Yarrowia lipolytica: one gene and its partner. The protein of the gene in region 1 purifies or fractionates together with the protein of each later gene. This does not show direct contact. Links are inferred from orthologs where the notes say so. Each region holds a gene or a part of one and is shown on either strand. Other genes may lie near its edges. The genes, in order: YALI1_C33005g and YALI1_D09420g.

Region 1 (16,018 bases):
ATCAGCGGGTGGCCTCTCCAGGCAATGCCGCTTCTCCTATCCAGCATCGAGTCGCTTCTCCTATGCAACAGGGTACTGGTGCTCAAGGAGGCCTTCCCCCTCTGAGCCCCCAAGATAAGGCCCGGTTCGCTCAGCTGTTCTCTCAGCACGCCCACAACGGTCTTGTCGAGGGTTCTGCGGCCCGAGACATTTTCCTCAAGGCCCGTCTCCCCCACGAGACTCTGGGCCAGATTTGGAACCTGGTGGACTCCCAGAATCGAGGTTCTCTCGACCAAGGAGAGTTCATTGCCGCCATGCACCTTATTCAGAGCTCCATGAACGGCTCCATGCCCCAGGTCCCCGCCCAGCTGCCCCATGGATACATTGAGAGCGTGCGTCCCCAGTCTGCCCGAATTTCATCTGCCAGTTCCGTCATGTCCACGGGCTCCAACGCTGCAGGTCCCGGCGTCATCAGACAGTACACCGGCCAGCAGATTGGTCAGGGCAACGACTGGAGCATTTCTCCCCAGGAACGACAGCGGTACGATGGTATTTTTGGTGCTCTCGACAAGAAAAAGACGGGTCTGATCGGTGCCGATGCCGTGGTGCCCTTCCTGACCACCTCACGACTCCCTGAAGCCACTCTGGCCCAGGTGTGGGATCTCGCTGATTTCCATAACCGTGGCGAGTTTGGCCGAGCCGAGTTTGCCATCGCCATGCACCTGGTTCAGCAGAACATTGGCGGTCGAGAACTGCCCCAGCAGCTGCCCGAGTCCCTTCTTAAGGAGGTTCAAGGTCAACCCCAGCAGCAGCAGCAGCAGCAGCAGCAGCAGCGAGTCCAATCGCCTCCCATCTCACAGCCCAAGCCTGCGCCCCCCAAGTCTGCTCTCAACGACGATCTGGTCCAGCTCAACGACCTGTTTTCGTCGCCTCCACCACAGCAGAAGCAGTTTGTGCCCTCGTCCGACTTTGGTCAGAAGATCAACAAGTCCGTCGAGGCTCCTCAGTCACCCATCAAGTCGCCTATCCAGGCCCCCGTCCAGGTGCCTACTCCTCAGCAGATCCCTACTCCTACTACCCAAGGCAACCCTGGCCCTCCTGTTGCTCCTCGAAACATCCACTCTGACGATTTGTTGTCTTCCAACTCGGAGTTGTCTAACAAGTTGTCCACTGCGTCTACCGACTTTGCCAATCTGTCGAACCAGATCGGCTCTTTGACGTCCCAGACAACTACCATCAAGGACCAGCGAGCCAAGGCCGAGAGCGAGCTGGCCGCCATGCAGACGAAAAAGAAGGACATTGAGGCGAAACTCGCCCAGCTGCGAACCCTGTACGAGACCGAGGTCGCCAAGGTCAAGCAGGTCGAGCAGGAACTCACTGCCGCCAAGGCTGATACTGACAAGGTACAGCAGGAGTTTTCTATCGTCGACGCGTCTTTGCACGCTGTCCAGTCGCAGCACCAGCAATTGTTGTCCGCTTTTGAGGCCGACAAGGCCAAGAACGCAGAGATCAAGGAAAACATTCGGTTGGCCAACGAGGAGGTCAACAAGACAAAGGAGCTGCTGGCCACGGCCGAAAAGGAGGCGAAACACCAAAAGAACCTGCTGTCCATCAATGACAAGCAGCGAAGTGCGTTGATGGAGGAGCATGCCAAGATGCAGGCCCAGATTGACGCCCATAATGCTGAGGTTGAGGCTGCAAAGCGGGAGCTTGAGCGACGAGCCCAGGAACCCGCTCCCGTGGCTCCCGACATGTCTCGGATGCAGGCCATGCCTCAGGTCCAGCCTCGAGCTGTTCCTGCTCCTGAACATCGGGCGTCTCCTAACAACCCTTTCTTTTCTGTTGCGGGAGGTGCGGCTCTTGGAGCAGCTACTGCTGGTGTTGCTCATGCTGTCCACGGTGTTGGAAACGCTGCTCAGGGCGCTGGCAACGCTGCTGCTGCTGGACCTCCCCCTGTTTCTTTTGGCGGACAACCCCAGACCCAACCCAAGATGGACGATTTCGACGAGGCTTTCAGCCAGATGGACGCTTCACCCTCGCAGGCTCCTTCTCAGGCTCCCTCCGACACCCCCATCTCGTCTGTTCAGTCTGATTTCAATGAGTACCAACCTGAGGCTGCAGGTTTCACTCTGCCTCTCGCACGACCACATTCTTCCACCTCTTCTGTCCAGAACAACGCTCCTCTGTCCGTTCGAGGCGAGAACTTTAGCCGACCCGACTCTCCTGTGTCCAACATCACCCGTCTGAGCGACTCCACTGCCCCCATTCCCTTTGAAGGTTCTCGAGAGCACGATGAGGTGGTTAAGACAGCTAACTCTGGTCTGACCGGTGATACTATCGAAGCTCATGCTTCGCACCCCAGCATCGCCTCCAAGGAGACTGTTTCTGAGCCTCAGAAGCCGGACGTTGATGGATTGACCGCTCAGTTCAAGAGCACTGAGCCTTTCCCTGAACAGCCCTTTGTCCAGCCTTTTGGTTCCAACCCCGCTTCTCAGCCTGCTCCTTTCAACCCCCCTGCCCAGTTCACTAGCGAGCAGCCTCACCCCGAGACCAACGCTGCGCTCGAGCAGTTCACCGACAAGGCCGTTTCGGACCAGCCCGAGTTTGAGAAGGCCGCCGAGCCCTTCCCCGACCAGCCGTTTGCCCAGCCTTTTGGCCCTAACCCTACGCAGCTGGAGGAGGACTCTGGCAACGAGTCATTCGAGTTTGTGTCTGCTGACGAGAACGAGCACTCTATCAACGAGATGCCCCGTCGAGACAAGGGCAAGGCTGTGGTTGACGACGACTCTTCTGACGATGACGAGCTGGAGGAGATTGGGGTCAACCGGTACAAAAACTACCAGCCCAAGGAGGTGCACCATGACGATACTACGTCGGACGTGGTTACTCCCCAGCACGAGATTACTCAGCCTACTTTTGCCCCTGCTGTTGACACTGCTCCTGGTCACTTCCCCGACCAGACTGCTGTTCACGATACTGCCCCTGGTCATTTCCCTGAGCCAGCTGCCGCCCCAGCCTCTTCTCAGGGCTTTGCTGCTCCCACACAAGCATACCCCTCTGCTGCCGAGGAGAAGGCTGCTGCTGCTGCTGCGTCCAACAATGACAAGGAGCTGCCCCCCAACCCACCCACATATGACGAGAGCGAAGGCCCCGGCTCTCCTCATCATGGTGGCTCCACTAACGGCTTCTTCGGTAACCAGCATGCGCCTGCTGCATCTGCTAACGACGACTTTGACGACGCGTTTGCCGATCTTGAGGACACCAACGTGGAGGCCAACAACTCGATGGACCAGTCGCAGTACAGCACCGACTTTAACAATGCGTTTGACGACATGAACCAGGCTCCTGCGCCCGCTAATCCTCCTGGAAACGACGAGTGGGAGCAGATCTTCGCCGGTATGTCTTCCGGCCCTGCTCCAGTCAGTGCTCCCTCTGCTGCTCCCGTTAGAGCATCTTCTCCTCGATCTCGAGCTGTTCAGGAGCTGACCGGAATGGGTTTCTCTGAGGAGAAGGCCAAGCGGGCGCTGCAGAAGCACAAATACAACGTTGCCGAGGCCACTAATTACCTTTTGGACCAGAGCTGATCTCTTTTTATGATGATATGTAAGTAATTCATTAATGTTTAAATGTATTATGTGATTATAAAAAATGCAGTACTTTCACCGTAGCGAGTAGTGATGATGGTGGAATTTACTGTAGACTACAACTACGGTATGTACTCATACAATACTTTAAGTAGCTACCTGTAGCTTCTGGTTGCACGGCATGGACCACATTCTGTGAGACTGTGACCTTTATGGTCAGATAGTCCAATAATGCCGTATCTGCCGCTTCTATGTTACGTTTTGAAGCTGTACGTCATCTGTTGTTGCTAAACGTGGAACAAATAAATAATCTATTAGTACAGTTCACCCCTCCTATAATGCCTTCCAACTTTCGTACAGTTCTGCCCGCTCAGGCATCTCCTGAGTAGCAGCTGTGGCCTTTGAAATATCCGATGTCACCTTGTGCAACTTGTCGAGCGATGTATGGACTTGGTCGTTGTTTTCCTTGATCTTTTGTCGGTATTCATCATTCTCCTTCTTGACTGTCTGTGCCAGCTGTTTGAGCTTTTTGATTCGTGCGAGTTTAGTTTCCCGTAGATGGCTCTTGATGATTTGATCTGGCGTCAGTCTATCGACATGGATAGGCAGATCTGTGTTTGAATTCATTCTGAGTCTGGCGTCTTTGACCAATTGATCCAACTGGGCCAGTTTCTCCGGGAGATGTCGTTCATCGAAGATCGCGTCGAATTCCGTTTGTACTGAGTCCGTCCACGCCTTGCAGATCTGCTTAAGGGCTTCTCTGAGTGCCTCCTGACCAGCAGGAGTCTTTGCAATGCTTGGATAACACGCCGCCACTCGTTTGTAAGTGAGCGACTTGACTGCATGGGCCAGTGCTGTGGACGAGGATGTGACTAAACGTCTGTAACGTGCTGATTGGGGGATTGCACGTGTATTGGCTGTTGTGGTTGTTTGTCCCTCGGTCGCTTTTGTTGTTTGTGTTTCGTTCACTGTTGTTATTCGTCCTTCGCTCGTCGCTTGTGATTCACTGGCTTGTGTCTGCCTCTGTCCCTCCCCTGTGTGTGTCTTCATGGATGTCGCTTCCACTTCAGCTACACTTATCTCCATGGTTTCTGGGTCAGGTGTTGATGTAGACAGTGTCTCGGATTTCTGCGTCTCAGTCTCCTGAACAGATTGTGTCTTTTTCGTGTGTTGTGTCCCGTCTTTTTCCATGTCCATATCCTTCTCCGTGTCTTGTTGTTTTGACGTGTTTTATATCTGCCGCGTTTTATTTACCAGCCTTGCACAATCTGACGCGTTGCATTGAGCGACTTAATGTGCAACCCCACGACTCGAACCCCCAACGCCAAATGCTGTACAGTAGCTTCTTTCATCTCCAACCCAAACCCTGCCCCCGTGCAGTTAGCGTCTGTATGACGTACATACAAACCTCCACACCTAGATCGATCACCCCCATACCACGCAATGTCAGACGTCACCGCTCTCATTGCTAGAGCCGATAAAAAGATGACCTCCTCCGGAGGCATGTTCTCATTCATGAGCGGCGGCTCCTCGACCCGATTCGAAGAAGCAGCAGACCTCTACACCGAGGCCGCAAACCAGTACAAGTTACAGCGTAACGGAAAGCTTGCTGGAGAGTGCTTTGAGAAGGCTGCTGACGCACAACTACAGTCCGAGAGCAAGGACGAGGCCGCCAACTCGCTGCTCGAGGCTTACAAATCATACCGGTCCAACTCACCCCAGGAGGCCGCCAAGTGTCTGGAGAAGGCCATTCAGTTCTTCACTACACGTGGTCAGTTCCGACGAGGTGCCAATTACAAGATGGAGCTGGGAGAGCTGTACGAGAAGGAGCTGGAGGACATTCCCAAGGCCATGGAGGCCTACACAGATGCCGGAGACTGGTTTTCCGAGGACCGAGCAGAGACTCTATCTTCCAAGGCATACCTCAAGGTGGCGGAACTGTCTGCCGAGAACGACGATCTGTTCAAGGCCATTGAAATGTTCGAGATGGTTGCCCGACGAAACCTCAATTCCAACATCATGAAGTGGTCGCTCAAGGAGTATTTGTTCAAGGCTGGCCTGTGTCGAATTGCTGCGGATCCTGTTGCTTGTGGGGGCCCCATCAACGCTTACCTGGAGTGGGATCCTGCCTTTGGCCAGTCCCGAGAGTATGGTCTGCTGGTGGATATTTGTGAGGCTGTCAGCAACCAGAACCCCCAGCTGTTTGCTGATAAGGTGTACGACTTTGACCAATTCAGCAAGCTCGACAAATGGAAGACCAACCTGCTGCTCAAGATCAAGAACGCCATTACCGAGCAGGAGGACGATGAGGGACTGTTGTAGAGGTCCAAATTTAAAGTAATATTATTGTTTATACTGATGGTCGTGTGACAGAGTGAGAGAATACAGGTACTACGCAAGGACACGCAGAAGCGGATTGAACCACACGTTTCAGTCGCTTATTCCAGATCATCGCCATTATATGTCTTGTCAGCTGGTAATATGCCATGCGTGGCTAGGGCTTTCTTTGACCCTTTCATCTCTAAGAGTCCATTGGCGCATCTCAGAGTCCATTGACGCGTCTCAAACATTTTATATTACCAATTGAAACGCTCAAGGTACTCTCATGGTAACTAGGACATGATTATGATCAATCTGATATATTGAAAGTACCCATAACCTTCCTTACAAGTACTTGTAATATATATCCAACTTGTACAGTAGTCTTGTGATTCTGGCTTGAACCAACTTCATATCCCATGAACCGAACCCTACACTCATTAAGATTCTGGCTGCCTCGGCATGAGGGGTCATTGGCGACTCTCAATGTGCTCAAGTGGGTCTTTGGTCGTGTGGCTGGAGGGAAAAAAGGGTTCCGACCCACATCTAGGCGTACATTTACACTTGTACAAGTACAAGTACTGTACTGTACTTGTAGTTAACTGGTCAAAAGTGCGACTTCGTGAAGCTCCGTATTACGATTCCTAAATTGGATATGTATGTTGGAGGCTTGTACATTCTTGTACAGTAGACAGAAGGGGATGACATGAAATAAGGGACAAGAATGTCTAAACCATCATAACCGGACGACCACAAGTAAACCCTACCAAAGACCATCAATAACAGCAGCATATCTTGCAACAGCTCTTGGAAGGTGTGACTTGAGAGTGTCACACCAATTTAACTAAATCTAACTAAATCCCTAACCTACTAATAACTAACGTTAATAAGCACCAGACCTCATTCAAACTCTGTTTCGTATCGGATGAGTCCAACGTTCAGGGACCAAAACAAGCAAATGGGCAGGTGGTGGAAAAGAACGAGATTGGACCCAAATCAGGTCTCCCCAAAAAACAAAAACAAAAAAAACGCCAGCAAAGAAGAGCAATCTAATGTGCATTGACCAACATGAAACACTCCCTGCGCAAATAGTCATCTCACATAAGCCGCACCTGTGACTATTTGGACACTTTCACCTGGTGGCTCATTTTAGCTCTGCAAAATTTCCATATGCATGGTGCAAGCTACTTCTACTCATGCCTAACGTGTAGCTGGGGATTGTACTTGCCAGATGCTCCAGATGGGTCTAAAACTGCCCGCTCCTTCTTCTTACGACAAGTAGATTGCTAGCTCCTGGGAACAACCCGCCGCTCCGACAGCCTACATACACATACGTGGCGGGGGTGCATCGAACCGGGGTAGTACGCAGTTGAGCTGTATCGGGAGAGTCCAGCATATAGGAGAGTAACAACTGCTTCTTCTGGGGGGGAGTGCAAGTGAGGATCTGTCAATAACACATTCCATGACCCTGTTGAAGCATTCCCACTCTCTCTTATGCCCCACTTCTCGTATCTGATCGCCTCTTAAAGTTCAATGTGTTGCCGAGAATCCTTGATTACTGGAAGAGAAGCACTTCAACAGAGCTTAGATCACGTAGGAATCATTGTCTCCACGCATCATGAAAATGACGCGAGTACAGTACTGTACTCGTGTATAAAATTTCCGGATTCCGGCCCTTCTTTCCCACTATCGTACTTGGACCACCGCAAACATATTTTAGTCACAGTGCATGGGCCTCGCTCACCAGCCGACAAGACTGACGCTCCTCCAAAAACATACTCTGAGTCATAGGTCTATCCTTATCTCTGATAGCAGCGAATGGGTGTGGGAGAGTCAAATACCGTTCTAGCTGGAGTCTATAATCAACGAGGCTGACGGGTCCGACTGGTGGATTTCGAGGTGTAGAATCGACTGGCCGGGTAAAAATAATCTCTTCCCCCTTGTAGATGGGTGTATGCACATTTTTTCCCATTGGAAACTGCTGCTCGCTTTTTCCTTCCCCAGGCCCAAGTGTCCCGATTATTCCGTCTGCACGAATTTTAAGCTCGGGGTACAAGTAAAAGATTTTGATTTGGAGAGTTGAAAAAAAAATAAAGGTACTTTAACTTGCACCTCGCACCTTCACACATCACCAACTACCATCCCGACAATGATAGCGCGATCGCTGTTGCGACTGGCCAAGCCGCAATTGCGAGCTGGCATTGCCGTGCGAACCAAATTGACACAGTTCCCCGTGCGAAAATACACAACCACCCCCGAGTATGCCGGAGCTGGAATCCTGTCCCAGGTGGCTGACAAGGAGCTTGTCGATGTCTCCAAGGTTCTGGTCATTGGTTCTGGAGGTCTGTCTATTGGTCAGGCCGGAGAGTTCGATTACTCCGGATCTCAGGCCATCAAGGCTCTTCGAGAGGAGGGCAAGCAGTCCATTCTCATTAACCCCAACATTGCGACCAACCAGACCTCGCATTTCCTTGCCGACGAAATCTACTACCTGCCTGTTACCCCCGAGTACATTATCCACATCATTGAGCGAGAGCAGCCCGACGGAATTCTGCTGACCTTTGGAGGCCAGACCGGACTCAACGTCGGAGTCCAGCTGAACAAGATGGGCGTGTTTGACCGATACAATGTCAAGGTTCTTGGAACCCCCATCAAGACCCTGGAGACCTCCGAGGACCGAGACCTGTTTGCTAAGGCCCTTAGGGAGATTGATATCCCCACCGCCGAGTCCATTGCTGTTGAAAACGTTGACGACGCCCTCAAGGCCGCCGAGTCCGTTGGTTACCCCATTATTGTCCGATCCGCCTACGCCCTTGGAGGTCTGGGTTCCGGTTTTGCTAACAACGAGGACGAGCTCCGAAACCTCGCTGCGCAGTCTCTGTCTCTTGCCCCCCAGATTCTCGTTGAGAAATCCCTGAAGGGCTGGAAGGAGGTTGAGTACGAGGTTGTCCGAGACCGAAACAACAACTGTATCACTGTCTGCAACATGGAGAACTTTGACCCTCTTGGAATCCACACTGGTGACTCTATTGTCGTTGCTCCCTCTCAGACTCTGTCCGACGAGGAGTACCACATGCTCCGATCCGCTGCCATCAAGATTATTCGACATCTCGGCGTTGTTGGTGAGTGTAACGTCCAATACGCTCTCCAGCCCGACGGACTCGACTACCGAGTCATTGAGGTCAACGCCCGTCTCTCCCGATCTTCTGCCCTGGCTTCCAAGGCCACTGGTTACCCTCTCGCTTACACTGCTGCCAAGATTGCCCTTGGTTACACCCTTCCTGAGCTCCCCAACGCCGTGACTAAGACTACTTCCGCCAACTTCGAGCCCTCTCTTGACTACATGGTCACTAAGATCCCCCGATGGGATCTGGCCAAGTTCTCCAATGTCAAGCGAGACATTGGCTCTTCCATGAAGTCTGTCGGTGAGGTTATGGCTATTGGCAGAACCTTTGAGGAGTCTTTCCAGAAGGCCATTCGACAGGTTGATCCTTCTTTTGTCGGCTTCCAGGGCCACCCCGATTTCGCCAACAACAAGGAGTTCCTCGAGGATACTCTTGCTAACCCCACCGACCGACGATGGCTCGCTGTGGGCCAGGCTCTGCTCCACGAGAACTACACCGTTGACCAGGTTCACGATCTCACCAAGATTGACAAGTGGTTCCTCTACAAGCTCATGAACCTCGTTGAGATGCAGCGAGAGCTTGAGTCCCACAAGTCTCTTAACGGCCTCAACCAGGACATTCTGCAGCGAGCTAAGAAGCTCGGATTCTCCGATAAGCAGATTGCTCTTGCTGTTGGTTCTGATGAGATGTCTGTTCGAGCCCGACGAAAGTCCTTCGGTATCACTCCCTTCGTTAAGCGAATTGATACCCTTGCTGCCGAGTTCCCTGCCGATACCAACTACCTGTACACCACCTACAACGCGTCTTCACACGACATTGACTTCAACGAGCATGGTACTCTGGTGCTTGGTTCCGGCGTCTACCGAATCGGTTCTTCCGTTGAGTTTGACTGGTGCGCTGTTTCTACCGTCCGAGCTCTCCGAGAGGCTGGCAAGAAGACCATCATGATCAACTACAACCCCGAGACCGTGTCCACTGACTTCGATGAGGTCGACCGACTGTACTTTGAGGAGCTTTCTTTTGAGCGAACCATGGATATCTACGAGCTCGAGCACGCCCAGGGTGTTGTGGTCTCTGTTGGTGGCCAGCTGCCCCAGAACATCGCCCTCACTCTCCAGGAGCAGGGCGCCAACGTTCTCGGAACCGACCCTCTGTCCATCGACAAGGCCGAGGACCGACACAAGTTCTCTTCCATTCTCGATTCCATTGGAGTTGACCAGCCCGACTGGTCCGAGCTGACCTCCGTCGCTGAGGCCAAGGAGTTCGCCGACAAGGTCTCCTACCCCGTTCTGGTCCGACCCTCTTACGTTCTGTCCGGTGCCGCTATGTCCGTCATCTACAACGAGTCTGAGCTCGAGCACAAGCTGAACAACGCCTCTGCCGTCTCTCCCGACCACCCCGTCGTCATCACCAAGTTCATTGAGAACGCCCACGAGATTGATGTTGATGCTGTTGCCTCCAACGGTAAGATGCTGGTTCACGCCATCTCTGAGCACATTGAGAACGCCGGTATCCACTCCGGTGACGCCTCTCTGGTCCTCCCTCCCCAGGATCTCGATGACAAGACCATGGCCCGTCTTAAGGAGATTGCCGAGAAGGTTGCCGCTGCTTGGGAGATTTCCGGTCCTTACAACATGCAGATCATCATGGTCCCCAACGGCACCGACGAGCCTGCCCTCAAGGTCATTGAGTGCAACATCCGAGCCTCTCGATCCTTCCCCTTCGTCTCTAAGGTTCTCGGCGTCAACTTCATCGAGGTTGCCACCAAGGCCCTTATGCAGGAGAACGTCCCTGCCCCCGTTGATCTTATGAAGATTGACCGACCCTACGTTGCCACCAAGGTCCCCCAGTTTTCCTTCACCCGACTTGCTGGTGCCGACCCCTACCTCGGTGTCGAGATGGCCTCCACTGGTGAGGTTGCCTGTTTCGGTGCTGACAAGCTCGAGGCCTACTGGACCTCTATCCAGTCCACCATGGGCTTCAAGGTCCCCCAGCCCCCCTGTGGTGTCCTGCTCGGCGGTGATCTGACCCCCCAGCTCATTGAGATTGCCAAGAACTCCGCCAACACTGGCTACAAGCTCTACTGCGCCTCTCCCGAGCTGGCCCAGATCCTCACCGAGGCCACCTCCACCAACGTCTCCACCATTGAGTTCCCCAAGACTGACAAGCGAGCTCTGCGGGAGATTTTCCAGAAGTACGACATCCAGTGCGTCTACAACCTGACTCGATCTCGAGCCGAATCTCTGCTTGACGAGAACTACGTCATGCGACGAAACGCCATTGACTTTGCCATTCCTCTGTTCAACGAGCCCCAGACTGCCAAGCTCATGTCCGAGTGTCTGCTCACCCGAATCAACAAGAAGACCGGTGAGATTCCTCCCGAGGTTCGACGATGGTCCGAGTTTATTGGCGGCAAACCCGTGTAAATACGATGAATTATTAATTGCCTTTGATTTAGAGCGTGTGAGTTGTAGAGTAGACAATATGTGTAGACGACTGAAAACATGCTACTGAAATTAGCTGTACGGACAAATACTGTACATACTGTTGCTCAATAACAGCTACTGGACAGTTACCATTCACTGTCGGCTAGAAGACAGCTTAGGCACCGCAAGATAGCTCGCGCACGTGAGACAAAGTGCAAGACAGAGCCACTCAACGCAGGCACAGGCACAACTGAGCCCCACCGCAATCAACCACAAACAACCCATGGTACTCCAAGTTTGAGTAGCTCCGTATTACAGCGCCTAGTGATCGCCAAGTTAATTATCGCTGAACTCTGGACAAAGATGAAACAGCACAAAGACCCCACAATGAGAGGTGTTCCTGTGCCGTGCATATATACAGCCTACTTTGTCTTAGCTTTTCGACTAATCATCTTGTGATTTCGATCCAGCAGCAGGTGGCAGGTGTGTAGAACATACTACAGTACAGTACGTACAATTGTAAGTGGACCAGTCAAGTTATGGATACAGCGCTGAGCTGACTGGTCAAGTAATTGGAATACATATATCCCACCTTGGTAGCTTACAAGTACCGGTACTTGTACATCTCTCCATGGAAACACTATCCCCCGAATCCAAGGCTCTGGTCAAGCAAATCATCACCTTTCTTCAAGAGAAAGAAGGGTACGTGAAACACGACTTACCGGACATAGCCGAGACTACAAGTAGCGCGCCACGTTCAACGGCAGCCCCACGTCAGTCAAATCTAACTGTCTTTGGCCCAATCACACAGGCTGAATATTACACACAGCGGCTGGTTCAAGCTGCATCTTTGGGTTTACGCAATGTTCAGGCACAAAAAAGATTGTCTCGCTAAAATTGTCCTTTAGCAGTGGTGGAGGAGAGCCGTGGATGAACCAAACCATCGACTTTGACAGCTTGTGGGCCGCTATAAGTAGTTGATAATACAGTAATGGATATGAGTGTGAAAAAGATGTGTATTCCATTGTGTGATGTGACCTGTAGACGCAATAACCACCCTGCTATACAACGTCAATGTGTAGTTTGCACCACAATAGCTATCACTCGCTCTTCACCGTTGAAAATCCCCCTGACTAGATTCCCTGACAGATGCCCACCTTGGGCCCTGGATGTTATGCAGCTTGCGTGCAGCGTCCCACTGACCAGATGTAATTAGACGCACCTGCAGACACACTGTACTGCTTTCTGTTATCATTGGCTGATAAGGCACTGTGTGGTTTTTGGAGCGACGATAACGGACCAAGGAGGCACATAAAACACTAGAAATCAAGCGGTAACAATGACAATGTCACTCCACAAGCATCATCAAACACACTGCTTTTTCATTCCTCCACCATCATAATCCCCTTGTGTACACTCCAATTGCCTCTCGAGGAACACTATCACACTCTATCTCCTCCGAACCCAAACTCAATCCTACGCGCCGTCTGCGACGTGAACATCGACACACAACACCATATATAGCACCGCCACATTCCTTTGCAAAGAACCACTACAGGAAAGAAAACACACAGATAGACATGCAGTTCTCTCTTGCCACCATCGCTACCGTGGCTGCCGCCGTCTCGGCCCTCGTTTGTCCCTACACAAAGCGAGATGCTGTGGCCGCCTTCACCTCGCCCCCTCTCTCTTCTGCTGACCACAAGAGCTGTCCTGCTGACACTCCTGTATCATGCTCCTCTGGCGCCGGCTCTGCCGACCTCTGCTGTACCGAGTCCCCTGGCGGTGTGCTCGTCTTGACCCAGTTCTGGGACTGGACCCCTGCTATTGGCCCCGATGACCTCTTCACCCTGCACGGTCTGTGGCCCGATAACTGTGACGGATCGTACGCACAGTTCTGCGACAAGAGCATGGAGGTGCAGTCAGTGGCCGCCGTTCTGCAGCAGCTCGGAGAGACCGAGCTCCTCGACAAGATGAACAAGATCTGGATCCCCAACCGAGGCTCCACCGACTCCTTCTGGACCCACGAGTGGAACAAGCACGCCACCTGCATGTCCACCCTTAAGGACAAGTGCTACAGCTCCGATGCTCCGCAGTATCAGTCCCTTGCCGACTGGGCCCACACCGTTGTCAACGTGTTTGAGACCGTCAACACCTACAAGTTCCTCGAGGCCGCTGGAATCACCCCCGACTCCTCCAAGACCTATGCCAAGACTGACTTCCTCAACGCCCTCAACTCAAACTTTGATGGTAAGCAGGTTCACATCTCGTGCAAGTCTGGCTACATCTCTGAAGTTTGGTACTACTTCCACCTCAAGGGCTCTGTTGTGTCCGGCCAGTACCTCCCCATTGACGACATTGGATCCTCCAGCTGCCCCGACCAGATCAAGTTCCCTCCCAAGGACGGATCTGGCGGAACTCCTCCTCCCACCGACCCCTCCGATCCTCCCACCGGCGGCTCCAAGGGCTTCATCAACATCTCCGGCCAATCTGGATGCCTCATCTCCAATGGTAACTGGTACACGTCCGGTACTTGTGCCACCTACACCCTTGGCGAGTCCCAATACGGCGGTGTCACTCTTACCTCTTCCAAGGGCCCCTGCGATGTTGTTAACGGCAAGTTCTCTTGTGCTTCTGGCAACAACGCTGGCCAGTTCACTCAGGACGGCAGCAACATTGTCTACGGCGGAAAGTCCGACTGGTCTGCTCCCTCAGTACCCTCTGGCTCCCAGCAGGTTGGCGTTTCTCCTGGTTCCGCCGGAGGTTCCGTTTCCTTCAACCTTGTCTTTGCCGCTAAGTAGGTGACCTAGACACGTATATTATACAGTACATAACTTATTAGACTCATTGAACATTGGAAATAGATTTGAGAGAGCGCTAACGGCTGGCTACACACATATTCCCAGCCACTGGTCTGTATCGTGTGTGTAGCATGTCTAGTTCTAAGACAAATAATGATAATAATATCGTCACGCGACCATATCTACGAGTAGCTTAACTTTGGAAAAATCAGATGTGTGTAGAGAGAACCATGGTGGTTACTTATCTGACAAGTGTTTGTTCACATATATATAAATTGCTGACTCAGGTACGAGTAGTTTTCTACCCTCCTTTACGCCGCCACCAGATAAGCTTCTTATCGTGCAGAAAGAATCGAGATTTTTCAGCTGGCTAGGATCAAGTCAGTTAAACACACAACACAATGATTCGGAATATACGACCATCGATACGCAACACAAACCGGCTATATGTGCAAATACGCACACTTACATCCACGCCTCTCTATGTTCAGGAGACCCACATGCCCGAGGCTGACAAACAGTCTCTTGAGTACGCCGACCAAGTGTTCAAGAAAGGCAAGTTGCAACGGTGGTGGACAGCCTTCTCCTTTGACCAGATTCCCACTGCTCCCGTTGATGAGAAGAAACGCACCAAGGGCGACGACTGGGCGATGATCGACGAGCTGCGTGAGGAGGAGGACTTTGAGGTGGGCTCAGACGAGTACGATGCTCTGGAAGCCGCCTCCAACGCCAACACCCGGATGATCAAGGCCAATATCCCCACTAACCAGAATCTCAAAAAAGTACACAAGAACGAGATTTTCCCAGAAATAGTGTTTATGGGCCACACAAACGCGGGCAAGTCCACCTTGGTCCAGCACGTCTTGGCGTGGGGTCGACCCGACGTTCCACAGTCGCACCTACACTCCCCCACGTCCAAGAAGGGCCACAAGGGCTCGTTGAGCAACTCAATCAACTCTGCTTTTCCTGTGATATCCAAAAAACACGGTTTCACCAAGTCCTTCAACTGCTATGGTCTCACCATTCCAAACTCTGGAGGCAACCAGATCAGACTGGTGGACATTCCCGGCTACGGCTACAAGTCGCTCAAGGACCAAGGCGCGGTAGTGGAGCAGTATTTGGAAAGACGAACTAACCTGCGAATGGCCATTCTTGTAATTGACGCAACCAGGGGCATTCAGGACGAGGACAAGTACATGCTCTCGACGCTCAACAAGTACGGAGTCACCTGGCAGGTGGTGCTCACAAAGAGCGACATGCTTGTGGGAGGAGACAAGAAACTCGAGGCACTGGGCCGCGAAATGTGGTTGGCTGCTAATCCTCCTAAAAGTGGAAGCCAAATGGTCAAACTGACAAAGCCCCAAAAGGAAAAGTGGGCACGACGGGCGCTATTAGCCGAGACTTCAATCCAGACACAGCTAGGTAAAATTTTGGTGCAGGTGAAGAAAATGGACACTCCTGAGTGCCCGTCCAAGGCCCTAGAGCGGGTCATTGCTGTCAGCAATAGCCCCAAAATGCTGCAGGGATACAAGCATGATTTTGGCGGAAGTGGCATTAGTGTTGTACGAAACGCCATTCTACAGATCTGCGGCATGGGCTTCCACGAGCAGAAAATGTGGAAGGAGATGGCCAAGTATGGCATGTCTTGAGGACGTTCTCATTTCTGAGGAGGAGTGCTTTTAGCCTCCAATTGACAAATAGGAAGACAGACACGTTCTCATCCCCACTAGACTGTCTTCCCCCGCACTAGCTGATGGAGCAATGTAATTGAAGCCACTGCTACA
Region 2 (14,131 bases), on another chromosome or scaffold:
TTGTAGGTCTTGTTGGTAGACTTGTCATTTGACCACGGTCCTACTCCTCCGTCTCTTGACAGCTTTTTCAGGGTGCATTCTTATTGCCCTTTTTGTCACATTCTCCCCTCTCTCTCCACATTCTTATTCCACTGCTTGATGCTGACTCTATCCGCGCGGTACGGCTTTTCGGAACAAGCTTGGATGATCGTGATTATCGTAAGTTTTCCGTTTTTTTGGTCGCAGTCTGAACTTGCGTCAGATGCATCTGGGAGTAAACAAAAAGGTGAGTGAGACAGAAAGTGAAAAGTTCAAGACAAGCACTTGGTCGCGTATGCCTTGGCATCTGATTATTCCTTCTCGGCATGTCTCTTCATGTCTGGGCATGCCGTCTAATCTCTCGGCACCTCCAGACTCTGCAGCAGGAGCAGATGATCATGTTCAACAGCGTAGTGGTGGAAACTCCACTTGGGAACTCTACACGAACGATCCACCGATCACGGACTCCCACAGGAACCTTGGATGTCACCCAGCTTTCGTCCGACGAAACTCAACTTTGCCCAACTTTCGTCATTCAACTCTCAATGAACTCTCGTCAACTCTCACTCAATTCTCGTCAACCAACTCTCAATTAACTCTCGTTAACCAACCAACTCCATCAACGTTGGTCTGATCGACTCCCGTGACCAACTCTTCCGAACTGCACGCAGAAAGATGTGCTGGATTGATGTGACAAGATCGTTGCTATAGACTGTCACTTAAACAGCCGGAGTCCGCATGTGACTCCCGAAACTCCGCTACAAGTGTACTACCTATCGGATCGTAGAAACCACTTAACCTCCAGCAGTTGGAAGGCCACTAAACCCACCTATCATCCTCCGCTATCATCCTCCGCTATCATCCTCCACTACCAGTTTGCCAAGTCCAGCCTTGCAACCAAACCTACAAGTAGTCAAAACACCGTGCCAAAGCAGTATCTGTCTCATCTAGATTGATCTTGCGGCTTAATTGAGATAGTCTGTGAGACCTGGAGGCCACTTCGGACGCCTCACAAAAGAAATGCACCCGGGCATGTACTGATTTAAGCCAGATAATGCGAGGAACACATGTCTGAGAAGACGCCAGACAAGAACAAAGATCCGCGGACGATTGCTAGACAAGAACCACGACGGCGGTAAGCGCCATTGTCGACGTTCGTATTGGTTGATGGGCGACACACATCTCGGTAGATTCGGTCACCGTTGTTCTTTTCAGCACCAATTGAATGCCCGTCAAAGACCCAACCTCCCACAAACCGCGCAGCCAACTCCAATCGCTTATGTAATCATATCACGTGCACCTCCTTAGTCATCGGACAGGTGCCCCGTTCCATCTCGCTGTGTATATTCCATTGAATATAGACAGGCATAGATGGTACAATTACAATCAATTGTGCATAAACGTTTGAAATTTCCAAATAGGAAGCTGATGAAAAATACTGCTGAGATGTTTCTTGAAAATTGCCCCAGGTAGATCTAGACGAGAATCATCCTATTGCAACTACCAAATCTTTCTTCCAGATCCATTCACCAATCTGTCACAGGCTTCAAAATTTGTCAAAATAAGCTTAAGGTTCCAGCTAAAATCACGTGACGAAATTCCCGGACCTTTCAATTTATTAAAAATGACCAAATCTCAAATTTGAAAACATCATTCGACTCTCCTAAACCCCAAACTTGCAATGGTGTATTTATTTTTTTCTCATCATGTCTCTATCCTCCTCAAACGTTCTTCTCCGAATGTACCCTCCGGAACCTTAAATGGAGTTTCAGATCAACCAATACGGAGACAAGTATAGGACATGTGTAGGGCGATTTGGTGACAGACGAAAAAGAGGGTGGCATTCTGGTGGGCCGTCCGTCATCTGTGTGATTACTAATATCACGTGACTTGGCCCCTCCGTTCCCTTTCGCTTTCTCTGTGGATAAACCCTCAAAGTCGGTTTTTGCCCGCCGTGAAAAATTTAAAATTTCTGCAGTGATATTTGGGTCTGTAATCACTTGGTTTTCATCTCTGCACTACCACACAAAATGATCCGAAGTCTCAGGGCCGTGAGTCGGCTGGGAGCCCGAGGGTTCTCGTCGTTCGCTGCTGCTCGTCAGGAAAACACGACTGTTGGAACCACGTACCAGGAGGAGCTGGACGTGGTGAACCAGCTCAAGGGGTCTGTGACCGCCGACGATGTGACGCGTCTGGCTCGAATGCGAAACATTGGTATCAGTGCGCACATTGATTCCGGAAAGACCACCTTTTCCGAGCGAATTCTCTTTTACACTGGCCGAACCAAGGAGATTCACGAGGTTCGGGGAAAGGACGGAGTGGGAGCCAAGATGGACCACATGGATCTGGAGCGAGAGAAGGGTATCACCATCCAGTCTGCCGCCACCTACGCCACCTGGATTAAGGAGAACCAGGACTACCATTTCAACGTGATTGATACCCCCGGCCATATTGATTTCACCATTGAGGTTGAGCGAGCTCTGCGAGTACTCGATGGTGCTGTGCTTGTTGTCTGTGCTGTGTCTGGAGTTCAGTCCCAGACCATGACTGTGGACCGACAGATGCGACGATACAATGTTCCCCGAGTCACCTTCATCAACAAGATGGACCGAATGGGCGCCGATCCCTGGAAGGCCATTGACCAGATTAACGCCAAGCTGAAGACCCGAGCTGCTGCCATCCAGGTGCCCATTGGCTCCGAGGGTGATCTCGCCGGTGTTGTGGACATTGTCAAGGAGGTTGCCTACTACAATGACGGTGCCTCCGGAGAGACTATTCGAGTTGCCGAGATTCCCGAGGACCTCAAGGAGCTTGTTGCCGAGAAGCGAGACCTGCTGATCCAGACTCTTGCCGATGTTGATGACGAGATTGCCGAGTGCTACATTCTCGAGGAGACTCCCACCGAGGAGCAACTTCGAGGAGCCATTCGACGTGCCACCATTGCCCGAACCTTCACTCCCGTGCTCATGGGCTCTGCTCTGGCCAACCGAGGAGTCCAGCCCGTTCTCGATGCCATCTGTGAGTACCTTCCCGACCCCTCCGACGTTGTCAACACCGCTCTTGATATCAAGAAAGACGAGACTCCCGTGCACCTGACCCCTGCTGCCAAGGCTCCCTTTGTCGGCCTCGCTTTCAAGCTCGAAGATGGCAAGTACGGTCAGCTGACCTACCTGCGAGTCTACCAGGGCCAGCTCAAGAAGGGCATGTCGATCATCAACGCCAAGACCGGAAAGAAGACCAAGCTGGCCCGACTGGTGCGAATGCACTCCGACGAAATGGAGGACGTTGACTCTGTTGGTGCCGGAGAGATCTGTGCCACATTCGGTGTCGACTGTGCCTCTGGTGACACATTCACCGACGGAGAAGTCACCTACTCCATGTCTTCCATGTTTGTTCCCGATCCCGTTATCTCTCTGGCCATCACCCCTAAGGACAAGGGCTCTCTTACCAACTTCTCCAAGGCCATGAACCGGTTCCAGAAGGAGGACCCTACTTTCCGAGTCCACTTTGACGCCGAGTCCAAGGAGACCATCATCTCCGGAATGGGCGAGCTGCATCTCGAAATCTACGTCGAGCGAATGAAGCGAGAGTACAACGTTGTGTGCGAGACCGGTAAGCCCCAGGTCGCCTACCGAGAGACCATCACCACTGCCGCTCCCCTTGATTTCACCCACAAGCGACAGTCTGGTGGTGCCGGTCAGTACGCCCGAATCATTGGTGAGATGTCTCCTGTCACCGACATGAATGCTGTCAACGAGGGCAAGGCCACCTTTGCCGCCGAGAACATTTTCAAGTCCGAGATTGTCGGAGGTAAGATTCCCGAGAAGTTCATTCTGGCCTGTGACCGATCGTTCCACGAGACTGCTGAGAAGGGTCCCCTGACCGGCTCCCGAGTTCTGGGTGTCGAGATGCTCATCAACGATGGTAACACCCACGTTGTCGACTCTTCCGAGCTGGCCTTCAAGGTTGCTACCCAGAGAGGTTTCTACGAGACCTTCATGCAGTGTTCTCCCGTGATTCTGGAGCCCATCATGACCGTCACTCTGACTGCACCTGTCGAGTTCCAGGGAGCTCTCATTGCTCTGATGAACAAGAACCAGGCGCTGATTTCCGACCAGGATATCGGCTCCGAGGAGGTGACTCTGTCTGGAGAATGCTCCCTCAACCAGATGTTTGGCTTTGCCACCCATCTTCGAGCCTGCACCCAGGGTAAGGGAGAGTTCTCTCTGGAGTTCTCTCACTACGCCCCTTGCTCTCCTCATCTGCAGAAGGAGCTGGTGGATGCCCACCAGAAGAAGCTGCAGGCCGAGCGAGATGGTAAATAGTTTGTATATATTGATTAACTGAAGTAACAGCACGAACAGCGGAGCATATGGTGCGGAACTGTGAGCAAATCGTGGGCACCTGCGAGTACATCGAGCACCAGCTAAGAGAACATTAACACTCTCGTATCAAGCTAAGGTGATACTGCCAAGTGATTGTTTGCGGACTCAAGTAGCTACATTCGTAGATGAGCAAGGTGATTGGGGTACAGTGCTCCTGTATGTACAAAAACGCAATGGTACAAGCAATCAGAACAGTGTGCCATCATTTGAGATGTTTCCTTAGATATATTGAATGTACTTTTGCATGAGAGATGAAACCCGATGGCTTCTATGTGTCTTATGGTCTTTTTGCTGTCGAGAAATGGGTTGTATATGCTACTTCTTGCCAGGATGACTTTTACGATCATGCTAAGAAAAGTACGAGCATTTGCTCTCATTAGCAACTTGAGTGTACTTGCACTCATACGCGCCTACTGTTACTCCTTGTACCGCCATCCACATACAAGCGATTGTCGTTCACAGCACTTAATGTCGTTCACAACACTCTTCACCATACAGACCCACACCGTGTTGATGGAGGTCTTTGAATTGGTCCAGGCCCCGTCAGTGTCTCCAGGACACAATGTCAAGGAACTGCGGTTCAAGCCTCTCGGTCCCAACAAGAGGTGGTTGAATCGGCCGACAGGTTCTTGGCCAAACGCAACTTGGAGACGAATTAAAAGTTCCTCCAAAGTGCGGAAGAGGATGACGAGTATGACGCCGACTAAGAGGGGAAGAAGAAGCTTGAGATGGCACCCTTAATGCGTTCGGCGCGACTTCTCGCTGGAGATAACACAGCCATCTTTACCAAGATGCACTAGCCGGAAGCTGAGGAAGAAGACCATGATGCAAAGCCTTGATTTTGAGATTTCGGCCCCACTCATACGCTCCTTTCAATCGACATTGAGACCAAACTACCCTCGGGCCATATTGGTATTGTCAACAAAACTCTCCAGCCTCCTGGCATGTTGCAAACCGTGCCTTCGGTCAACTGGTATAGGGCTGCTTGTAGAGATACCCCTATCTCAGTTGTAAGGGTCCACTCTCACTTGCCATTCCAACTGATGACTCCGGTGGCTAAGATTTTGCCAAATACGAAGTTCCAGTTCTTGTCCCGGGTAGCAATACAAAATACATCCTCTCCAGAGAGTTCGCAGACAATCGACAGGGACACGGGTTTGAGATTGGCATTCATAAGTCTCTCCGCATTGGCAGACTTTGGAGAACCACGTCGAAATAATCACCTACTCTGTGATTGACGCCCTTGAAACTGGCCAATGACAGTTGCAACGCCAGACGGGTTGTCTACAGAGGTCGGGGAGGATCTGCAACACACTCTGTTCTCATTGTCGAGGGCTGGAGCAAAGATGGGGAGATCGGAAGCGCACTTTCCAGGGTTTTCCGAAGGTCGACTCGGCGATTGGCTTGTTACCAGTCCAGTACAAGTACACGCGGTATCCTTTTAGTAATGCTATTATAATATACTATACAATGCGATTCTTGTCAATGGCGTAGCGTGCACAGCGATTGTACTACAGTCAAGGACATGTCTCTTTTTAACCCTGTTGCTCCTTCTTTTCATCCTCTCTAACAACAACATAATCCGTGCTCAGGTCTCCGAAACTAAGCACGTCTTTTGGCAGCACCTGGACATAGCGGCTGGTGGGAATCTGTTTATCGTTGATGAAGGTGCCGTTAGTGCTGTCGAGATCAATGACGTAGAGGTTCGTCTGGAACGACGTTTCACCCTCGTCATTCACGTTTTCAATTTTGCGAAACTGCAAAGCAGCATGCACCTTTGAGCACGACAGTTCATGGAGAGGCACGTCGTTGAGCTGCGAGTCTCTTCCAAACCGATAGAAGCCCCGTTTGTCGAGCACCAGCTTCTCGATCGGGTCGTCCTGGCCAGGCTCAAACAGAAACAGATTGAACGGGTTGCTCTGTGGCGGCTCTCCAGCATCCACGGGCTCCGAGTATGTGATATCCCTGACTTCCACTGATGCAAGCTCGTCCTTCTTCTTGTCTTGTCCTCCTCCACTCAAGACGCCCGACTCAAAGTTGGGCACGTCCTTCTTCTCCTCCTCCTCGTCCGAATCGTCATCACTGAACTCCCGAGCATGGCGCTTTTGAACAGGCGACTTCTCCCTGACGTCCCATCGAGGCCGTCTTTCTCGGTCTCTGTTACGAGACTCGCGTTCTCGATCCCGGTTGTCTCGTTCGCGATTGCGTCGCGCATTTCGATCGCGGTCTAGACTGTCGTTTCGGTCACTGCGGTCTCTGTATCGTCTTCCTCCTCTTCGGTCGTCTCTGTCTCTGTCGCCTCCTCTGTCTCTGTCTCGTCTGTCGTCTCGGAGATCGTCTCTATCACCTCTTCGATCGTCTCTATCACCTCTTCGATCGTCCCTATCACCTCTCCGATCGTCCCTCCTGTCATCTCGACGATCTCGGCGCCGATATGAGTCCCGCGAGTTATCTCTTCTTCGAGGTGGCATGGTTGTAGTGGATGTATTCGTGGTGGTGTAAATTTCAGAGATTATGCAGACTACTGAACCAGGAATGCTAAGTGGAAAGTCAAGTGTACAGCATAAAGTTTGTTTATCACCTAAGAAAAAATCGAAGGAGGTGTAACTGGTCCTGTGAGCCAATCACAACTATGAAACTCGAAATTTAACATAATTGACCTGGTTTAAATCTCTCTACAGTTTTGTTAGTTGATTCATTGTCTTTTATCAACGTCTTGAAGGACCCACATTGTCGAGGTACAGTGAACCTTATTCGAATTGAGGGCTGAAATTTGCAACATAATCGTCATCTGTTCACTTCTGATAGTGATCATAACCTGATCCAAACCTGCTTCGAACCTGATCCCACTCGCTAATCCGACAACAACCCACCCATTTCCCTCACGTGACCATACACGTGACCACCCCACCCACATCTTCCATGACTAATTGGAGCTGCGCATACTGCGCCAGAAATGGCAAGTGAAAGCAGACATCTCCAGTCCTAGGCACCCAAACGACCCCCGCAAATGACTAACTCTGCATGGCACCCACCGGGGGAAGTGATCCGGCTAGTTGTGTCGGTAAATAACGAGTGGATGTGCTATTTGCGCGTCTCAGTAGCGCCATGACAAAGTTCGGCGTGCGTTGGGTTGGGACAAAATTTCAATATATATTTTTCCGAGCTCCGCTTCTCACCTCTTACACATCTTCTCAAACCCCATTGACCAAACACCGCTAGCTGCCAGCTTGGTATATATGCGTGTTTCTTCCCATTCAACCAGCCAGGATTATCTTTGTGGTGAGTACGAGAAATTGAGGAGTGCTTTTGTGGCTTTTGGCGGCGACTGTGGCTGCGAGGGGGGAGGCTCCATGAGCAGCTCTGTGGCGTTGTTCATGTCATGTGACGTGGCACTGCGGAATGGACCACAATGCGTGAGTGAGCATGGAGGGATACGACTGTTCAGCTGTCGCCCGCGTACAGCCTTTTTTTTTTGTGGGTAGCGACTGGGCCTGTCGTTGACTGGTTGTTCGGTATCTCCCATTCGAACTCTACTATGAGTCAAGCGGTCCCAGTCAATCGTCGTCAAACTCAATTGCCAAACTATGAGACAGCCTAAGATAAGCCTTGGGCAATCATAATGGGGCAAACAAGTGGAAGACGAGGAGCAGAAGACGACACGACAAGTTTGAGAGATGAAACCGCGTCGTCTCATCACCGCCCTTCCTCCACAGCTTGGCGCGATTAAGTTCCGCCGAGTCCTTCCGGTGATCCCGAGTCTTCCGACTAAGCTTTGCGCCCACATGTGAAGCTGGTTTTTTTTTTCATCGACATTTTAGACTTTCACTTATCGGTGAATCAGAGAGCGACGGGAAGAAAAAAAAGTGCACACACAACATTTCTCCTGTTCACCACAAACACAAGTCACAAACACCCCACAAACAAAAGCACACTACGCATCCTGCATTGCCGTCTGCACACACTGTACAGCAACTAACCCAGACCATATTTGGAAGTGCAGCACCCACTAATTTGACTCTACTGTCGTTCTAAATCTCTTACCCCCACGCACCACCGTACAACAACCTCTACAACATGTTCAAGAACATTGCTCGATTGGCCTCCATGGCCCGATCGGCCCCTCGAACCACCGCGTCCTTCCAGACCCGATTCATGGCCACTACCGCCTCCGGCACTGCCTCTGCCTCTGCCACCCCGGCCACCTTCACTCTGCAGAACGGCCCCGTCTTCACCGGCCGATCTTTTGGAGCCAACCGAGTCGTGTCCGGCGAGGCCGTCTTCTCCACTGGTATGGTCGGCTACCCCGAGTCCATGACCGACCCCTCGTACAGAGGTCAGATTCTGGTCTTCACCCAGCCTCTGATCGGTAATTACGGAGTACCCTCCGGCAAGGAGACCGACCCCTTTGGTCTCATCAAGTACTTTGAGTCCCCCCACATCCAGTGCATTGGCATCGTCGTCGCTGACGCCGCCCTCAAGTACTCGCACTGGACCGCCGTCGAGTCCCTTGGCGAGTGGTGCAAGCGAGAGGGAGTCGCTGCCATCTCTGGCGTCGACACCCGAGCCATCGTCACCTACCTTCGAGAGCAGGGCTCGTCCCTGGGCCGAATCACCGTTGGCGAGGAGTACGACGCCGAGGAGGACGCCGCCTTCGTCGACCCCGGCGAGATCAACCTCGTGCGACGAGTGTCCACCAAGCAGCCCTTCCACGTGTCTGCCGCTGCCGACGTTGAGAACCCCCTGCACATTGCCGTCATCGACTGTGGTGTCAAGGAGAACATTCTGCGATCTCTTGTCTCTCGAGGTGCCTCCATCACCGTCTTCCCCTACGAATACCCCATCAACGACATTGCCCACCACTTTGATGGTATCTTCATCTCTAACGGCCCCGGTGACCCCACTCACTGCCAGCAGACCGTGCTCAACCTGCGAGACATTATGTACGAGAAGCCCGAGCTCTCCGAGCTGCCCATCTTCGGTATCTGTCTCGGCCACCAGCTGCTGGCTCTGGCTGCCGGCGCCAAGACCGTCAAGCTCAAGTACGGTAACCGAGCTCACAACATCCCCGCTCTGGATCTGACCACCGGCCAGTGCCACATCACTTCCCAGAACCACGGATACGCCGTTGACGTCAACACCCTGCCTGCCGAGTTCAAGCCCTACTTTATCAACCTCAACGACCAGTCCAACGAGGGTATGATCCACACCGAGAAGCCCATCTTCTCCACCCAGTTCCATCCCGAGGCCAAGGGCGGTCCTCTCGATACTTCCATTCTGTTTGACAAGTACCTTGGCCAGGTGCACCAGTACCGAGCTGCCCGAAAGTCCGGTGTTGACACCCGGCCTAACAAGCTGCTGGTCGATCTGCTTCCCAAGCAGCGAATTGGCGTTGAGATTGACGCCTGGGATTACGTTCAGTAAGCCTGCTTGCGGGCATAGCGAGTGAACGGAGACCGCTGCATGCAGTTGGTGTGTATCAACCGCTGCGTGACAAAAAAAGAATAACGTTGACCATATAAAATAATAGGCATGATTGATAAAGATGTAGCGGTGTAACGCGTGTTTAGCGCGTGCGTGAAGTTAATGAACAGAGTACTACGTGCTACGTTCTGATCAAGAGTTCTTTGTCGCTTCGCACATTCCACAGCTCTTGGTGGATAATCAATTACAATAAATAATCAAGCAAACCGCTCGGGCCACCTTTTCGCCTCGAGGTATCTGAATATCGGGTAGCTGATACAAACAAAGAAGGTGATAGCTTCAAGACCCAGATCAGCTCCATAGGCACCAACATGTTTGGCGATTGGGCCTTGGAAGTAGACCTGAGACATACCCAGAACGGCTCCTGTGGCTCCCAGAAGAAAGGAGCAGAAGGCCGCGATTCCGTGGGGCAGTCTCTCGGGCGAGTCCCACAGGTACCATCTGTAGTAGGGGTCGTTTTCGTCCTCATGTCCGGGTTCCACGGGCAGCTTCTTTCGTCGGAAGAGGATCTGTTCCAGCAGAATGAGCAGAAAGAAGATGTGGGCCCAGTAGCCGATCATGGGCAGAAAGTTGTTGAGGTACTCGGACAGCTTGTATCGTCCTCCCATGGAACATCCAAAGTAGATACAGCAACAGATGAACGACCAGAACCACCGGGGGACTCTCATGACGGCTCGTCCCCAGGTTTGGATGGATAGTGCAAAGGAGTAAGTGTTGAGGATGTTGTTGCAGATGATGGAAATGAAGAGAAGAACGACGAGGAACTTTCCTCCGCCCTTCCATTTGGCAAATCCAGCGGTGATGAGTCCTCCGTTGCCCCACTTGTCGTGGATAGCGGCCCATTCCGTGTTGGTATTAACTCCAGTGGACAGAAGAGTGCCCAGAACACCTACAAAGGCCGAGGGAATGAAGATGGACAGCCAGGTGACGGTGACAATCTTCCAGTTTTTGACCGACGGTGAGTATTGGGCGTAGTAGTCTGCTGCCAAAGGCATCCAGGTGTTTGTGATTCCGAAGCAGGCAGCAAAGTTGGACAGCCAGTTGCCGGCAATGGTTAGATGGGTGCCCTGGCTCTTGGCGTGCACGTCGTAATAGCTGTGGGAACAGACGTAGAGCAGCAGGAAGACCACGTTGAGTGGGATCGCAAACACCTTTTCGAACCACATGACTGCTCGGACTCCAAATACGGCCGTGAAGAAAGAGACGACGGTGACAATGGTGATACCGACCTCTAGGGGCACTTTTCCATCACTCACGGAGCCCAGAACTTGTCCTCCGACCACGCAGTTGACAATTGACCATCCCAGGCCTCCAATGATGGACAGCAGGGCAAACACCTTGGTGGGCCACCAGCCGGCAAAGATTCGGGCTCCCACAAGCTGTCTGAGTCCCGAACGGGGTCCGAAAGTAGCTCCATAGGCTGCCACTCCGGATCCCAGAAACACACCGAGTAGACCGGACACCAGGGAGTCCTTCAGAGACAGTCCAAAGGCCAGGGGACCAAGCATCATGCCCTGCATGGATGTCAGACCTCCGCAGGCACAGATCCAAAACAGCGAGATGTCGATAAACGCCTTGGTATCGGCCTTCTTTCGTTCATCCAGAGGGATACGCTGGATACCCCGGAGCTCCACACCTAGAGAGTCGACCTTAGACGAGTAGTAGATGAACTTCTCGAACCATGTGTCTCTGGGCAGCGAGTGTACAGACACATCTGGAGAAGGCTTTTCGTCGTCATAGAGATGGGATTCGGGGAACTGGGGACGGATAGAAGAGTCTAGGGAGCTGGCGGACACGGGTCTGGTAGAACCCGACTCCACAAAAGTGGAGATATCGTTTTTGTCGTGGTAGTGACTCATGGCTCGCTTGAATGACTCGCAAGACTCGAGCACTCGCTCCTCTCCACTCTTTATACATGACTCAAAATATCAGGGTAACAGGCATGGCCATGCGCAAGGTTTGAGTCAATTGAGTCAAACTGTGGCTAACTGGCTGGAGTTAGTCTGAAGTTTTGCATATTGAAAAAAAGGGTGGCTACGGAAAGGGGAGTTGAAAAGTTGGTGAAGGAGGAGTTTGGAAGCGAGGAGAGTTGGAAAATCAACTTTTCAGACTCGGTCCTCCACGACTCCACCTCTTTTTTATCCTCAGCAGCTCCAATATACGACATATGTTCATCCTCCTTCAGCCGCCCCCTCAGTCTGAAACTGACTCTCATAGTCCAAACCTTGAAAGCATAACGATAAGAGAAAAATTACCGTCCAGATGAAAAGAAAAGAAATTAACGCCGTATTTGGCTAGTGCAAGTATCGTAGGCGAGCGCCGTTTTCTACGGGGACCGTCCTTGACCGGTCGTTGGCCGGTCGTTGGCCAGTCTTGTGTCTGTATCAATCACTACCGCTCCAGCCAGAACCGAATCGCCGTATGCAGCCAAGCGCCGCCAAGATCGTATCGTCTGACCCGTGCGAGACAAGGGAGTCACGGAGACAAGGGAAAAGAGTGGGAAAATTTTTGTAGGCGAAACGAAACGGCATATCTTGATACGATCCGGGATGACTCAAATGACTCAACAGGTGCAGATGGCGGAAGCTAACTTGGGAGTTAGCTACTAGTAGGCAAAGGCGTTGTTCTCAGGTGGATCCAAGACACTGCTAAGAGATCAATCTGTACTTATATCTTGGTTGCTATGGTGAGATGGGGCTCTACGAGTAGTGTACAAAGGATACCTTTCGTTGGTGACCTCTGTATGATTGCATTATGTGAACAGGTAGCTTGTGCATCCTCCTGCCTTCTTCCGTACGAGTACTTTTACAGTACCAAACACTTGAGTCGTATAACCAATAGCAACGCTCAAAGTTACTGTACAAGAAGTACTGTCAAACAAGTAAACTGACGTTAATTTGTGTACCGTTGGCAACTTAGCTACCAGTAGCCAAGTTATCCTTAGTCCATGGAACTCTGTGGAATTGCCGATGTGAGGCTATCCCAGGCTGTACCTGTTTTAGTTCTTGTGAAGAGGGATCGGGGCGAAATTTGCAGATATCAACTGTGCAACTGCCTGTAGAGATTACAGTAGTGTGTGTATCTGTCATCTATTATTAGTTGAGCCCGATATTACCGACCGTTGTCACAGAAGTTGCTCTCTCTGCATTCATGGTTGTGTCGATAAAGTTGACCATGGATACTGAAGTCCACGATATTGGTTTCATGGCGGGTATTGAAGCGGTTAGCGCCTCGCAGGTTCGGTATTGAGAGACTTTGACAATGCCGTATGATCTGAGGCACTCAGCGACTTCAGAATGTCGCTTTCTAAGCTCCTCTGAAGCTACTACCTCGAGAAGAGTTCTGGTCCGGCCTATGAGCAAGGAGGCGGTCAGTTGAGACAAGAAACAACCAATTATGATGCTCACTGATCACGTGGAATACTCTGAGCACATGCAACCCCTGCTGAATGACTCAACATGACTCGAAATGACTCAACATGACTTCCATGCTTAACTTACGCTCCCGCGATCCATGCGATCCAGAAACGGCAATCCAACCCTGTTGAAGACAAAGAAGAGCGGAGTAGCTGCTGGATTCGTTTTGGCGAAGTTCATGGGCTTCTAGTGTTTGTGTTCGCTCTTCGAGAGCCCTCTCAAGTCTTCCTCGTGAATGAGAATGCCACCACCAGGCAGCTACAATTATTGCTCTCCCCGGCACCTTTACCAGTGCTAACTAATACCAGCTACTTATCCTAAACGAAGTCTCTGTTCTTTCGATGACGTCCTCTGAACCTTTCATATGAACGTCTCGAAGCAATACCAGTCCACGCCTGTTGGATATACACAGGGTTAACGATGAACAGAGACTGAGAAGGAAACAAAAGAGGATGAGGCAGGGAAAAGCAATCGAGTCGAAACCACAAGCCAGTGGTAGAAATCTCAAAAATATTCTGCAATATTTGTTAATAATGGTATAATGTCTCTGTGGAGTCTGCTGAGCTTGCTGTAGTATGTGAGTGTCTCCAAGTTGTCATTACGCGGTAAATGTTTAGTTGTGGAGTTCAGAAACCCCATTCCATAGTCACTAGAGAACCATTGGTCAACTTCTCGTGGTCAGGAAAATATAACAGCATCTTCTATATCTCAACTTGTCATCAGCATGACTGTGCCTATACTATATAGCTGTTCGTACTCTAACGTGACCCGTAATGTTGGTTTGTCGGGTGTACTTGTAATGCTACAAGTAGTTTTATCATTCATCTA

The links.
Region 2: the proteins of YALI1_C33005g (region 1) and YALI1_D09420g purify together in Saccharomyces cerevisiae (affinity purification with mass spectrometry, with the first as the bait; 3 studies listed by BioGRID). This does not show direct contact. The link is inferred for Yarrowia lipolytica from reciprocal best matches to the Saccharomyces cerevisiae genes CPA2 and CPA1.

The regions. Positions count from the first base shown.
Region 1 is NC_090772.1:3,292,517-3,308,534, forward strand, and holds YALI1_C33005g (uncharacterized protein), read left to right. Parts: upstream 1-8,031; coding exon 8,032-11,433; downstream 11,434-16,018. Other genes in the region: YALI1_C32921g (uncharacterized protein), read left to right, coding at 1-3,563; YALI1_C32972g (uncharacterized protein), read right to left, coding at 3,897-4,760; YALI1_C32975g (uncharacterized protein), read left to right, coding at 5,007-5,885; YALI1_C33055g (uncharacterized protein), read left to right, coding at 13,014-14,234; YALI1_C33071g (uncharacterized protein), read left to right, coding at 14,636-15,883. UniProt on the Saccharomyces cerevisiae protein: Large subunit of the arginine-specific carbamoyl phosphate synthase (CPSase).
Region 2 is NC_090773.1:933,589-947,719, forward strand, and holds YALI1_D09420g (uncharacterized protein), read left to right. Parts: upstream 1-8,480; coding exon 8,481-9,827; downstream 9,828-14,131. Other genes in the region: YALI1_D09356g (uncharacterized protein), read left to right, coding at 2,049-4,343; YALI1_D09382g (uncharacterized protein), read left to right, coding at 4,665-5,144; YALI1_D09404g (uncharacterized protein), read right to left, coding at 5,939-6,874; YALI1_D09417g (uncharacterized protein), read right to left, coding at 7,675-8,190; YALI1_D09453g (uncharacterized protein), read right to left, coding at 10,085-11,746. UniProt on the Saccharomyces cerevisiae protein: Small subunit of the arginine-specific carbamoyl phosphate synthase (CPSase).